Arabidopsis thaliana: one gene and its partner. Changing the gene in region 2 together with the main gene of any one other region gives a genetic interaction. Each region holds a gene or a part of one and is shown on either strand. Other genes may lie near its edges.

Region 1 (7,003 bases), on a different chromosome or scaffold from region 2:
CCACCTCATGATCATGTCCATCATCAAGTACAAGATCACAAAAGTGTACAGTTCTTGGGGTCCCTGCCACGTCAGTTTCCGGTTCCAACTTCTGGTCCTTCCAGAAAACATAACGAAATCGGTTTAAGTAGTACTAAGACTTAATCTTCACCTTGTAGTTCAAAGGTTTGATTAATGAATCATCCTTTTTACTTCTGTAAGTTTTTTTTGTTTTAGTTTTTGCCCCTTTTGAATTTGGTTCAAACTGATGTAAATAGATTTCAGTTTGATTTATTTATGGGCAATGCTGTGGATACGATCAAATTTTTTAGTTTAATATTGGAACTTGTTTGATCCATTGAAATATTGCAAGTACGTAAGAGCATCCACATTGGTGGTTATTTATACATGTCTTTAAATATAAAACTATAAAAAATAATAATAATAAAATAATGAATGTCTTTAATTTGAGATTTGTGTCTTCCTAAAGACACTTTATACACAACAAAAGTGAAATGTCTTTAATTTTATTATTTATTTATACTAAAAACATATATAAAAAGTTGTCTACTCTAAGTGTACAAGAGCCGAGGATAGAAGGGTCGGTTTCTAATTAAACAATTATTGTTCTTTTTATTTTCCGTCTTCTAATTTGATATATATGAAATTATATATCATATGTTCACTGTATCCTAATCGTGGATTATTACGGACATAATGATAATTGTTGAGATATATACAAGTCCCGATCAATTTAGGCTACATCTGTTTGGTAGAATATTGATGGATATAAGCCGAGTAGTGATTTCAATATTTTATATCCACTCTCTTCTTATAAGTTATGGTAATAACAAATAGAAGGTTATTCTACATATACTAGTATTTGAGTTGGTGTTTAAATACCTCGGGTTATTCGGACATGCATAGAGAAAATATATGGTATTTTAAGATAAACATTATCCCATAATATATGGACATTGACAAATACAAATAATGTGTGTTCGTGCGTAAAAGAATTGTCATTTCTTTAAAATAAGAAGGAATGAAAGATTGAAAGGTATATGTTCTAACTAAAACGTGTGATTAAGATTGGACTTATATACATAGTTGATTACTTTGGATGTATCTTTTTGTTTAATTTTTGTTTCAATAATGTCATTGAGTAGTCGTTGTGAATACGATTGACCAACGGTTGCAGAGATATATTGGAGGATTTGATGTGATATCTCCTAAGAATTTCAGAAGTTCATTGAACGTTTTTTTGGGGTTAGTGAAATAGTATCATTTGTATCTTTTTGCATAATTTTTGAAAAATCATTCATATCCACTTGATTCTCATTCAAACTTTGAATACCTTTATTCGAATTCCATGTGATGATTTATACTTTTCAAGAACACTATGGTCCCTTGACTCCATTGTCTCGCTTACAACTTTAGTTTACGTCATTAACAAGTAATTAGGCTTGAGCTATAGCCTATAGCCTATAGATAAGCTAGTTAAAAGGTCAAACAAGGAGATTCCATAAACTGTAAAATAAAACTTCCAAAAATGGGTTGTATATAGGGAATTGTATCTTTTACATACGTTAGTTCTGACTGTATTATTTTTTTTAGTACTGTCCTTTTTTGTTCTTATATAAAAATGGATCGGATACACATTTAAACATTAGTACTTACGGGTACATGTCTATCCTCATATGTATTATCCAATACATACACTTACGGACATATGAAAGTGAACGATCGACTCTAATTCAAGTGAAGTAATTCTGCTAACTGCAATAATCTACATTTTATAAAGTTTGCACTTTTTTTTTGTTTTAGCTACGTTTGAATTCTTAACTTACTATATATATATTATTTAAAAAAGCTTACTATATTAAAACATCTTATATTTATTGATCAACCACTCATGAATCGAATTAAAAGTACTTCCACATATATGTATTCAAATTGTTTAGATAACTTAACCATCCTTTACGTGACAGCGCTATTCAATTACAACATGGGTCTTACAACATTTGGATTTATTTTGACGCCTTGTTGGTAATGAGTTTATTAGATAATTGAAATTTTTGGTCACCGCTGTCCGCTGCGATGGTGTGTGTATTATTATTAATCATGCATGCGTGTGAGATTGAATAAATTAATATAAGTCAAATTGGCTGAAAACGTTGTGACAAATACTAGAGTGTCTATATATATCAGGATTATGATATGCGGGCATGTGATGTGTCTAATGCGTACGTGTGCACTCGTGTCCACGTGCACATACACGTGCGGTGTACCCCGCGTTGATAGGGTCTCGATTATTTCCAATCACGTATATCAATTGTTTTTGTTTTTGTTCTTTTTGATAAAAAAAATTTTTGTTACTTCACAATTCACATATGTATCCAAATGCAAGCGACAAACATATTCGCACGAAAGAGTCGAATGTTTTGGTTAGTGATAGAACATTATATATTGATCTTGATCGTATGATTTCATTTATATTTAGGGACTGAATTATATATTATATTGTAACATTTAACATACAGTATATCATGTGTTGCTAGTTATGATTTACATGCACTTCGAAAATGGTATCTGATTTTTTATATGATTTAGAACTTATCTGGCACACATCATTGAATAGGATCTAACACATTAAAACACTGTCTAACTTATTTGTTTGTATGTGTGTGTTAAATCATCATTTTAGCTAAGATTTTTAACCATAGGCAAAGAAATGACTCAAATGAGCAAACGAGAAACTGCAGACAGCAACATATATCAAACTAACTCTAATAGGCCCAATATAGCCCAATAAGAAGTGTGACCGATGGAGGGAAGAATCGAATTTAAATGATACAGAGTTTTTTTGTTTGGAGAGGAATAGACTGATATGATAGTCCGTGAAAATATTTTCATCTTGTTTTCAATGTGGAGATATTTTAAAGTTTGAAACCAATCCAAGTTCTAAAACATCAAAAGCTTTTATTCTCTGTTTAAACCACTTGGTTGGTCTTGGTCTTCTTGAAATATACAAACCAGACCCAAACGATAATCAGTGAAGATGACTGCATCATTGGGTCTTTAAGTTTCCTATTGGGCCAAATCAGCCCAACTATATTATTGTTATTATTTCAGTCCATTAAAGATTTTCGGCCCGTTTTATCGTTGGGAATTCATCTATATTTCCCCAATTTGATGATACACAGAACAATTTCATGTGTATACGATAAGAGGCAAATTCAAAATTTGCAATCAATGTAAAGTGGAAATGAGAAGCATGGTGGCTCAAATCAACTTATCTTTCCTTGGAATACAAACTACAAATGATGACGGATTTGGCTTCCCTTTGAATTTACCTTTTACCTCTCTCTTTTTTTTTTTTTATAGGTAATGTTGTTATTGGACAAAAATGTTAAGAAAATAAAGGTGAATGATAAATTAGAAGAGTACCCATAACTATTTTGATTATTTAAGTTGCCAACCAAGCTAGACCACTTTCCAACTTTTATAGACAAAGTGTAAGAACTTAGCACATGCTTTCCAACAAGGAATATGAAACTTTATTTCAAAAAGATTATTGTTAAAGCTTTTAATCATTCTAAAAGGTGATTAATATTTGAATTATTGGAAGTAACTTGTTTTGGACATATACCAAATTAATCAATAGTATCAATGGACATATAACATGTTGTGAGACTATATCAATGTTATATTCCAAGCCAGTTAAACCAATTTATAATGATACCATTTATAGATAAACAATACACTTTACACACATTATTTTCTTAGAATTGGGTCTCATATAGAACACTCACAAAGGTGACTTATAAAAAATGCTTCAAAGATCCTAGTCTTTTAGTGTGCATTCCTCAAAATCGTAGTTGATATGTATCTTGCTCCTATTCGGGTTTTGGTCTAGAATTTTGGTTTCAGGAATTTTCAATTAACTCATTAAAACATTTATAACATAAAAAGATATATCACGAAAACCGATCAATCATTTAATATATTTTTATTTTATTTTATTTTTTGTCACAATAAAATCTAGACAATAGTGTTTAAACATTTATCAAAAAATTCACCTTACGATTAATTTGTTTTATATTTTGTGATGATGCAATTTAATCTATATAAATTATAAAACATATCGATAATCTGTGTTTTTCTTTTTCTACATATAAAATTCATAAAAATGAGAGTTTTGAAGCTCTTAAAATGGACTAGTCAACAATTGGCCAATCTTTGTTCTAAATTGCTAATAAACGACCATTTCCGTCAATTCTCCTTGGTTGCAACAGTCTACCCGTCAAATGTTTACTAATTTATAAGTGTGAAGTTTGAATTATGAAAGACGAAATCGTATTAAAAATTCACAAGAATAAACAACTCCATAGATTTTCAAAAAAACAGTCACGAGAAAAAAACCACAGTCCGTTTGTCTGCTCTTCTAGTTTTTATTATTTTTCTATTAATAGTTTTTTGTTATTTCGAGAATAAAATTTGAACGATGTCCGAACCACAAAAGCCGAGCCGATAAATCCTAAGCCGAGCCTAACTTTAGCCGTAACCATCAGTCACGGCTCCCGGGCTAATTCATTTGAACCGAATCATAATCAACGGTTTAGATCAAACTCAAAACAATCTAACGGCAACATAGACGCGTCGGTGAGCTAAAAAGAGTGTGAAAGCCAGGTCACCATAGCATTGTCTCTCCCAGATTTTTTATTTGGGAAATAATAGAAGAAATAGAAAAAAATAAAAGAGTGAGAAAAATCGTAGAGCTATATATTCGCACATGTACTCGTTTCGCTTTCCTTAGTGTTAGCTGCTGCCGCTGTTGTTTCTCCTCCATTTCTCTATCTTTCTCTCTCGCTGCTTCTCGAATCTTCTGTATCATCTTCTTCTTCTTCAAGGTGAGTCTCTAGATCCGTTCGCTTGATTTTGCTGCTCGTTAGTCGTTATTGTTGATTCTCTATGCCGATTTCGCTAGATCTGTTTAGCATGCGTTGTGGTTTTATGAGAAAATCTTTGTTTTGGGGGTTGCTTGTTATGTGATTCGATCCGTGCTTGTTGGATCGATCTGAGCTAATTCTTAAGGTTTATGTGTTAGATCTATGGAGTTTGAGGATTCTTCTCGCTTCTGTCGATCTCTCGCTGTTATTTTTGTTTTTTTCAGTGAAGTGAAGTTGTTTAGTTCGAAATGACTTCGTGTATGCTCGATTGATCTGGTTTTAATCTTCGATCTGTTAGGTGTTGATGTTTACAAGTGAATTCTAGTGTTTTCTCTTTGAGATCTGTGAAGTTTGAACCTAGTTTTCTCAATAATCAACATATGAAGCGATGTTTGAGTTTCAATAAACGCTGCTAATCTTCGAAACTAAGTTGTGATCTGATTCGTGTTTACTTCATGAGCTTATCCAATTCATTTCGGTTTCATTTTACTTTTTTTTTAGTGAAAAATGGCCGATGGTGAGGATATTCAGCCACTTGTCTGTGACAATGGAACTGGAATGGTGAAGGTGAGTTAGACTGTTTATTTAGATACTGTATGGTTCTAACCTTCTTTGTTGTACATGTGTAAGACTACTGATCATGATTTTTGTATATTAACAGGCTGGTTTTGCTGGTGATGATGCCCCGAGAGCAGTGTTCCCAAGTATTGTTGGTCGTCCTAGGCACACTGGTGTCATGGTTGGTATGGGTCAGAAAGATGCTTACGTTGGTGATGAAGCTCAGTCCAAGAGAGGTATCCTCACTCTGAAGTATCCAATCGAACATGGTATTGTAAGTAACTGGGATGACATGGAAAAGATATGGCATCACACTTTCTACAACGAGCTTCGTGTTGCCCCTGAGGAGCACCCAGTTCTACTCACAGAGGCACCTCTTAACCCTAAAGCTAACAGGGAGAAGATGACTCAGATCATGTTTGAGACATTCAATGTCCCTGCCATGTATGTTGCCATTCAGGCCGTTCTTTCTCTCTATGCCAGTGGTCGTACAACCGGTTAGTTCTTAACTCTAAACATCCAAGTCTGAGTTATATTATCTTCTTACTTGTATTTACTTAAAGTCGTTCTCTTTTTGTAACAGGTATTGTGCTCGATTCTGGTGATGGTGTGTCTCACACTGTGCCAATCTACGAGGGGTATGCTCTTCCTCATGCTATCCTTCGTCTTGATCTTGCGGGTCGGGATCTCACAGACTCACTCATGAAGATTCTCACTGAGAGAGGTTACATGTTCACCACTACCGCAGAACGGGAAATTGTCCGTGACATAAAGGAGAAACTTGCTTATGTCGCTCTTGACTACGAGCAAGAGCTAGAGACAGCCAAGAGCAGTTCTTCAGTGGAGAAGAACTACGAGCTACCTGATGGACAAGTCATAACCATCGGAGCTGAGAGATTCCGTTGTCCTGAGGTTCTGTTCCAGCCATCGCTCATCGGAATGGAAGCTCCTGGAATCCATGAAACAACTTACAACTCCATCATGAAATGTGATGTCGATATCAGGAAGGATCTCTATGGAAACATCGTTCTCAGTGGTGGTTCCACCATGTTCCCAGGAATTGCTGACCGTATGAGCAAAGAGATCACCGCTCTTGCACCTAGCAGCATGAAGATCAAGGTGGTTGCACCGCCAGAGAGAAAATACAGTGTCTGGATCGGAGGATCAATCCTTGCATCCCTCAGCACCTTCCAACAGGTAAAAATCCCAATTCCGCCTCTTTAAAACTTTCAGCTCCATTTATGAAACATGAGTGAAAATACTGAAATTTTGTTTTGTTTGTGTGTGTGAATCAGATGTGGATTTCAAAGAGTGAGTACGATGAGTCAGGTCCATCGATTGTTCACAGGAAATGCTTCTAAGTGTGTCTTGTCTTATCTGGTTCGTGGTGGTGAGTTTGTTACAAAAAAATCTATTTTCCCTAGTTGAGATGGGAATTGAACTATCTGTTGTTATGTGGATTTTATTTTCTTTTTTCTCTTTAGAACCTTATGGTTGTGTCAAGAAGTCTTGTGTAC
Region 2 (8,563 bases):
ATTAACATGAACACCAAAGGATGTACATTATAATATAACCACACACAAAAAAAAATATATACATGATGATTTAGGAACAAAAGATTAGTGACAAGAAGTACCTTGTAACGATGATATTGGTCCACTGTTATCTCAGCAGTGGCATTGTTGGCAATCTTACCTGTGTTTTTTTACCAATGGTAAATAAGAAATCGAAATGATTAACTAATCAGTTTAATTAGTGAATTGTAATTAGATTGATTATGAGATTAACCAGGAATCTTGACGAATGCATCCCAAATGCTTGGACCACGACCATCTTGGTGGGTCTCGCCTTCGACCTGGTAAGCTGACGTGGCGGTTCCGAACAAGAATCCTTCCGGAAAACTCTTTCTGTTAAGACCGCCGGTGGCCAATGGGACGGCGTCTCCGGACGGCGACTCTTCGCCGGAGCGGGAAGCAGAGAGGAGGAGGAGAAAAAGAAACATGTGAAGCTCACTATGGGACAGAATGTGGGGACTGGGGAGTGAATTATGAACGAGGATCAATGTGTGTCTTCTTGCTTCAGGCTTAGAATTATAAGCGAGATTAATTATTTAATCATTTTTGTTAATAAGGTTGATTAACTATTGATCAGATAAATTAATTGAAAAATCTCCTCTGTTTTCATCTACTTCAGAAAACAACTTTTGTAAGAAGAACAAATATTATAGAGCCCAAAAATCATTGAGAGAAAGCACAATCTCAAGTCCCATTCTGTATCAGTAATCTTCTGATAATGAAAAAAAATCTGACTCAAGATCTCAGTTTCAGACCAAAACAGAGCATTCATTTTTGACAAAAGATATGCAGACAAAAAAAAAAACAGACACACACATCAACACAGCCACGGCCAAACGGAAGATTCACAAAAAAAGCCTTCAAAAGTAGTAGAAGCTTTCCAAAGAGACAAGATAGGACTTGTCCAGAGATCTTTATAATTTACGTCAAGTCTTATTGAGGAGTAAAGCTCCAGACGCGGATACAAGCATCTTCACCAGAACTCACTACATGGGAATCATCAGCAAAACCCAGACCATATACTCCACCTAAGTGAGCTCCTTTTATTGTCATGCGTGACGAAGCAGGTTTGTCCACTTCATACACAATCACACACGTGTCCAAGGATCCTGTGGCAACCATAGTGCTGTTTGGAGACCAAGCTAAGCAGTTTATGCGGGCGCTATGGTACAACATGTTCTTGAGTTTCATCTGTTTAAAAAAAAAGGGACGATATAAGATCAGTGTTTGTGTTCCAGATTCATGGAGAGATTCTAAATAATCTTAATTACTTACCTCTCTGGAGACTCTGTCCCACACAACTGCTTCTCTGTTCAAATCAGCTGATGCAAACATAGACAAATCTGGAGAGTAACGTATGACGCTGATGGCGCCTCTGTGTCTCTCGAGAACTGCTTCCTCGGTGAGGGAGTCACCATTAATAGAATACAAATGGAGTTTACCGTCTTGGCCACCGATGACAGCTTCGGTTCCATCAGGTGTTACTGCCAAAGCAGTGACAATGAACCCAAGGTTGATGGTTGACACTACTTTCCCATCACGAAGAAACACAACTCCTGACTCAAAGGTCACCAGAAGGAGATCGGGTGAGAGTGGTGCAAGGCTTAGATCCTTTGGTTGATTTCCAATGTCGATAGACTCTTCATTTGTGCATTGATCATCTTTATAGGAGATCCTGGATATCTGAATAAGAATCACATAGTGAATAAACGTGAGTTAGTTGCTTCAATAACAATAATGCTTGGAAGCAATTAGATAACCTACGAAATAAAAAATATTAGTCACTGCTAGTCTTACAAGGTAAAGACCATTTGGCCTTCAGTGATCGCTCTTTTAAATTCTCTAAACCACAAGATCATTAGTATATTTTTCCAAAGTGTTAATAATCTTAAGAGACCATTGTGTCTTTAGAATTGCCAATATTTCAGAGAGAAAAAAACCTAATTCACTTGTTTCGTCCTTACATTCAATCCCCTAAACACCAAATTCAGACACTGCAGAAATCAAGGTGACAAGTCCTACATGTGAATAAAAATTAAAGTGAGAACCAGTTTACCTTATTGTCATATCCAGAGGTCACGATCTCTTCTTCATGGGCAGCAAAGCACTTTATTTGAGAGTTTTGTGTCCGCTGCAATTTACCGCAAAAACCACGGCCTAGCATCCATTTACATATCAGTCCATCATAACTACCGGATAATATGTAATCAGCGTTTCCTTTAAGCACAGCTAAGGAAGAGACGTTCTTCATGTGTCCCGAAAACTGAAAGGGGGATTTATCCAGATCGCTTGCTGAGAATATGCTGATTGTGCCACCTAGAGAAACAGTGACAATATGATCGTTCTGCCACAGACACCCAACAAGCATATCGTCTACTCCACCTGATGATCCAGGACAGTTCAATGTTGTATTCAATGATCCACTACCGTTGTCTGATATATCCCATATTTTGGCTGACTTGTCTGCGGAAACAGTGAGCACCTGGTTGATGATTCAAACATATACAACACGTGAGTACAGACGTAGCATAACATCAACCATGATGTAATCAACAACTAGAAGATAGAGAATATGTCATTCAGTCTTCATAGATACACCCAAGATAGTTCATTTATGTACGTCATACTGCAGCAGGTTAGACCAATTACTTCCATACGCTATTCTAGTAGACCTTGTTTAAGCCTAATGTAGTTTGAGCGTAATATGAGGGAATCAGGCAAGAGTTGAGAATACGGAACAACAAACAGATATAACTTAGTACCTGTTTACCATCAGGACTCCAGCTGACTGCATAGATGCTACCTTTATGCCCATCATCAGAAGACAGTTCTCCCAGTATCTCACAAGTCTTTCCATCATATATGATTCCCTTCTTATCTGAACTCACAGTAATGAACTTACTTCCATCTGGTGCAAACCTCACACAGTTGACAAAGTTGGAATGCTCTCTGTCGACCAATAAACAGCAATCTCGTAAACAATTCAGAAACTCACAAGCAGGAAATTTAAACAGATATCGAAAGTGTCATATTTCTTTAAAGAAAGGGAGCACATGAATATCTGACCTGCTTGAGAGCTTGAACTTAAAAGGAGGACCTTCATAGAAATTCACCAGAAAATCCTCCCCACAAGTTACAATACGGAACGGCCTAGTTGGCTTGATAGCACAGCTAAGAACTCTCCTAGAATGACCATCAAACTCTCCCACATTTGATCCTGAATCCCACCTAATAAACCAAGACAAACAATGAGTCAATAATCCATCAAAGTTGAGAAGAAGAAACAAAATGCTCAATTTCAATCTGATTAATATCGATCCGATTCAACAAAATAAAAGCAACACCAGCAGAAAAACAAAACCTTTAGTCCGATCAATCAAAATCAACGAAAACAACATTGAGCTAAGCACTATAAAAATCAAATCTTTATCTAAAAAGCAAAACCAAACTCACATGAAAGCACGAACAAGAGATTTGCCTTTGCCATCACCAGAAGCAACGATCCTCATCCCATCAGCAGACCACTGAAGATCATCGATCCGACCAGCCAAAACCTTAAACTCATTCTTCAACACATGATCGTTGTAAGCTCCCCAGATTCTAACAGTCCCCGACACATCACCAGACGCGATCCACTCTCCGTTCGGAGAATATCGCGCCACAGTAGCTGGGTAAGCGTGCTCACCATAGATAGAGACCTTTAAAGGATTGTTAAGGTCGAGAGTCACGACGGATCGACCATTAGTGTAGAGGATGGTATCGGACTTCGAGTTACCAGAGATCAGAATTCCTCTACCTCTCTCCGTCGATGGAACACAAGCATAGGTTTCTGAAAGCTCCATCAGAACCGAGGACTTTGCAGAGATTGTTTTTGGGTTTACGGGGAAGAAGAGAGACGAGGAAAATGGAAGGACGGATTTGAGTCTTTTTGAGTTTTGTTTGACATTACATTTGTTAATATTTAGTTGTTGTAATTAGAAAGATAATGTAATGATAATCATTGTTGCAACATTCACTTCTCTGGCACAAACTCATTAGATAACCCAAAAATAATGTAAAGTGTAGTTGTATAATAGTTTTGTGCTAATCACTTTGTTTCTTAAGACTTACATATCATAATGCAGAGTAGTATATAACATTAAGAATAATAAACTTCCATTGATTTTTGTTGGAAATACCTTGAATTATGAACAATTTTGAAAAATTATATATTTTCTACTAAATTAGAAATGAGTGGAACCAAATTATTTCTCTATTATCTTCATTCCATTTTAATCAATTCCTCAATCTCTCATGTTTTTACCATTGTAATTTTAGATTAGACTAATGGGTGTGTTATTTGGCCAAAAAGGTAAATGTGCGGCCCATGGGCAAGTTAGTTTAGCCCAGCCCAGTTATATACGCAATAATGCCAAAGTCAATGAATCGCTAGCAGTTGATTGGCGCATTAGTGAACCTCTATCTAATCACTACCACAAAAAAAATGTTATGAAATATCTTTTTCATAATATTTCTCAAAGGAAAAATCTAACGAATGGAAGCATTCGATTATTGAATGAAATATTATTTGAACTATATGAGAAAATAAAGTGTCAGTCGTGGGGCTTTTTACATCTCTTGGTCGCATTGATAATTCATATAAAATATAGAATATGATAGGGATGAATCATGAATGTATTATTGTTATAGGAGCATCCGTGGTTAGAGAGAAGATAAGGAAACATAAGAACAAAGCTGTCACAAGTCTCTCTGTCTCTCTCAAACCAGCCACACCACCTCGTCCCCATTACTCACATGCCTTTCTCTGACTATTATTCTTCTCCTCCCAAAAACTGATATATTTATATTGATTGCGCTCATATAATTTGATATGACCGAAAATATTGTTGAAATATTTTCAAATTGTGATTTTTCAATATTTAATTGACAAAATACAACAAGATTTTTTTGATGTAATAAAATGTTAAAGAACATGGCTACTAAAACAACAACGACACCAAAAAACTAATTTACAAAGACAGAACCAAAGCCCTCTCTCTTTCTCTCTATCTGAATTTCACTTCTCTCAACCAACCACGTAATGCCACGTGCTCCACGTCACAATCAAATCCAACCATGGTGTGCCACGTCACCACGACCTTATTAGGACTAATGTGATAACGCTGTAAAGTAAGAAGTGGACCAAGTGGTGCGGATACTGAAGTGAAGTTGGCGAGCCGTTGGAGAATTCGGAAGAATCGACGGCTAAAGGCATGCCGTCGCTGCCGAGAGCACATGAACGTGGCACGCCATCGTGGTTCAGCATGACGGCTCGGAGGACAGAAGTGACAGTGGGGAAATAAGCAGTACGGTTCTTAGCGAGAAGCCAAGTGAGACCCATGAGGACACAGTCTTTGTTGTGCATCTTTGCTGTTCTGTTTCGGTCTTCCTTTGATGGGTTTCTTGTCCCTGAAGTTTTCTTCGGATTTAGCTGCAAAATGAAGCAGAAGTGTTTGTTTTGATTAGGGTTTGTTGCTGCTGACTAAAGTAATGATTGAGGATTGTAGAAAGTAGAAAGGTGGCAACTAGTTGCTAAGCTTTTGGCTATGGTGGGTTGGTGATTAAGATGCAGAAGAATGAAATCATATGATGGAAGACAAAACGTCGCGTGGAGATCACGGATTCTGTTAGCGCGTATATGTGTGTCAGACTGTCAGATAGAAAGAGAACAAAAAGCTAAAGAACAAAACTTTTCCCAAATTACTACCATTCGCCATATGATGGATAGATCAGAAAGAATCCTAAACTACATAATTCCAAATCTTCACTCACTCATATAGTAAAACCCTAATCCTTAAACACCAAATAAATATCATTAAAAAAGGGCTTCTAAACTTTGGACTAAACCTTACATAGTTAACTACTATAACTAGTCCATCAATTCCTCATTACTCATCCAAAAAATTGTCTTAATCAGTCAATCAAACAAAATCCAGAAGCTAAACACCAACAACGCTTCAGGGTATCTATAGATTATCTAAAAGTTACTAGATTTGCACACACATTTTACCAATTTAGCCAACCTAATTCCATTTGAACTTCACAGTGGCAGCTTCTAAATATAGCAGCAAAGTTAGTGACTTTACCTTATAGAGACTGTTCAAGCACTTGTTGCAACCAAGAAGAGGTGAGAATCCATCAGCATTGTTGTGGCTTCCACTCAAACAATCAGTCTCTAATCTATCAACTCTCTCGTCTCCAACGAGTCTCCCTTCATCATTCACTCTAAAAGCCTCGGAACAGCTCAACGGATGCAATCTGATTCCACAGTAGCAGTAAACGACGTCGCAAGTCTCGTTCGGTCTAGTGAGCTCAATCCCTCTCTGCCTCAGAGATTTCCCTAATCCGTCAACGCAAGTCTCCGAGTCATCGGGAAGCAAAGGCATATCTTCTTCAGGAGTCGTTACCGCGGCGGAGGAGGAGGATGAGTTTCTTGCGGCGGCGGAAATCGAACGGCTTAGAGCAGTGGTTGAGTAAGCAGAGTAGAGCCACGCGCCTAGTACGGGGCAACATTTTCCTTTGTGGAGCTTTTTGCCGCTGCAAGCTGACTTGATGCCGTGGAAGAGGTCTTCTGGTAAATCGAGTGGGCAGCCGGAGAAATCGGATTGCTCCGGGAAAGCGGGTATGGTTGCGGGTGGGGATGATTTGACCCGGAATGGCTGGACTGTGACCGGTTCAGGTGAAACGGGTGATAGAATGGTGAAGAGGAAGATGATGATGAGGGAAATGGAAGAAGGCGCGTGTTGGAACATCGCCGGAACAGAGGAGACAGAGTAATAGAGAAAGAGAGAGGGACAAAGAGTGAGAGACTGGAAGAGATGTGTAATAAAATATCACAAATGGGATCTCGATATATACCAATTTAATACTACTAAGTCAGTTTTTTTATTAGTTTTAATAATGTAAAAAAATCAGTGGAAAAAAATTTGTGATCAAACATTCTTAAAATTACAAAACATTTCTTATGCTTCGTTAACACTCCATTTTTCAGTGTGTAGGACAATAATAGAAAAAATAAACTTTTTAATCGTAATCCATGCTGGCGACTATTTTATGAATAATGAAATCATATTGGATTATTACTTATTAGGGTAACCTTAGTTGAATATTGAGGGTTGTGAATCACGGGACGATTGTTCTTTGCATTGAAACTTGAAAGATCACAGAGGCAAGTGATCGACAGGTTCACTGTTATTTGTTAATAATTTCAATACATAAGAGTTTGGAAGGATTCGTTTAAGTTTAGCTTATCATATTTGAGTACTTTTTTATTTTATTTTTAAACGCTACATATTTACTAGATTTGATATGTAATCTGTATAATCAATAAAATTAGCAGAGTCCGATTTCAACAATGCAGATAAACTACAAAATTATAGTACTAGCATGTGTTTGTCTCGTAATGCAGATAAACTTTTCCGTTAATTAGTTTACAATATAATGCAATTAATTTTTCGCAACTTAAATGTCATGGAAAACAAGAGACCATGCAATTTTTTCAATCACTAATATAGCTATAAGAAAAAAGTCGTCAGATTAGTTTTATTATGGTTATAGACTTATACTTTAGCTGTTTTGTCAATTTTCATGAAACTTTTGAGTTGTAATAAAACATTTTTTTGATAAAGAAAAATAAAGAGTTGTATAACAACTTTACTCTTATTTCCATGAAATAAAAAAAATATTCTATCTCAAAAGAAAAAGAAGTCTAACTTCTGTCTTTTTGTTCCAAGTGTTTTTTAGTCCTTTGATTTCTAGGAGTCTCTATTAATTTGGTTTTGTTTTGTTTCTTATTTTGTTGAAGCAAGAACTAGTTGGACGACGACGACCACAAGAACATAAACACTAGGAGTCTAGGATTTATCTCGAGATTAATAGTACAAGTATGTTCATGGAATTTTACTTTTATATCCATTTTACCCACAAAACACTATTGGTTGATAGTAAAAAGGAAAAAGAAAGAATTATGTGGAGCTCCATGTTAAAAAGGTAATGTCAGGCATGCGAATGGTTTGTTGTAGTGAAAGCTGCTTAAACTATAACACTACAAAACCCTTTTTCGGGAATGCCATTACAAAAGTATCTATCTATAACGTAATGCAAGATGGATTCACTTACGTCACAAGGACAAGAGACTATTTTACTATAGAGTTACAAATGGTAAATTTATAATATACTTACCGTGTTCAAACTTCAAATATCATATCAAAAATAAACTTAGTCAGTCAATTTGGATATAGACTTAGACTATAGAGTAAAAGAAGAAACTAAAATTTACAACATTATTGTAGGGGTTTTTGTACATATGGGCATATTTTGACCCAAAAATTAGAATAGAAACATATTTTATTTGGGCTTATAAGTCTGGGTACTTTTTGGTCTGTAAATGACCATTTTGCCCTCGAATGTGTTGATGATGATCTTCATCTTCTCCGTCGTGAGACAACAACCTCACTGTCTCCAAATTGAAATTGAGAAGTACAAA

Evidence for each region. A genetic interaction does not mean that the proteins touch.
Region 1: changes in AT3G18060 (region 2) and ACT7 are lethal when combined (synthetic lethality), as found in Arabidopsis thaliana (one study listed by BioGRID).

The regions. Positions count from the first base shown.
Region 1 is NC_003076.8:3,047,374-3,054,376, forward strand, and holds the start of ACT7 (actin 7), read left to right. Parts: upstream 1-4,688; 5' UTR 4,689-4,889; intron 4,890-5,429; 5' UTR 5,430-5,435; coding exon 5,436-5,495; intron 5,496-5,589; coding exon 5,590-5,983; intron 5,984-6,069; coding exon 6,070-6,683; intron 6,684-6,781; coding exon 6,782-6,847; 3' UTR 6,848-7,003. Other genes in the region: IDL3 (inflorescence deficient in abscission (IDA)-like 3), read left to right, coding at 1-144. UniProt on the Arabidopsis thaliana protein: Actins are highly conserved proteins that are involved in various types of cell motility and are ubiquitously expressed in all eukaryotic cells.
Region 2 is NC_003074.8:6,179,198-6,187,760, reverse strand, and holds AT3G18060 (transducin family protein / WD-40 repeat family protein), read right to left. Parts: upstream 4,150-8,563; 5' UTR 3,882-4,149; coding exon 3,493-3,881; intron 3,268-3,492; coding exon 3,106-3,267; intron 2,989-3,105; coding exon 2,802-2,988; intron 2,522-2,801; coding exon 2,096-2,521; intron 1,723-2,095; coding exon 1,315-1,722; intron 1,231-1,314; coding exon 973-1,230; 3' UTR 610-972; downstream 1-609. Other genes in the region: BGLU43 (beta glucosidase 43), read right to left, coding at 102-160, 254-467; AT3G18050 (GPI-anchored protein), read right to left, coding at 5,168-5,509, 6,165-6,830. UniProt on the Arabidopsis thaliana protein: Binds actin. Enhances the F-actin depolymerization activity of actin-depolymerizing factor (ADF) proteins.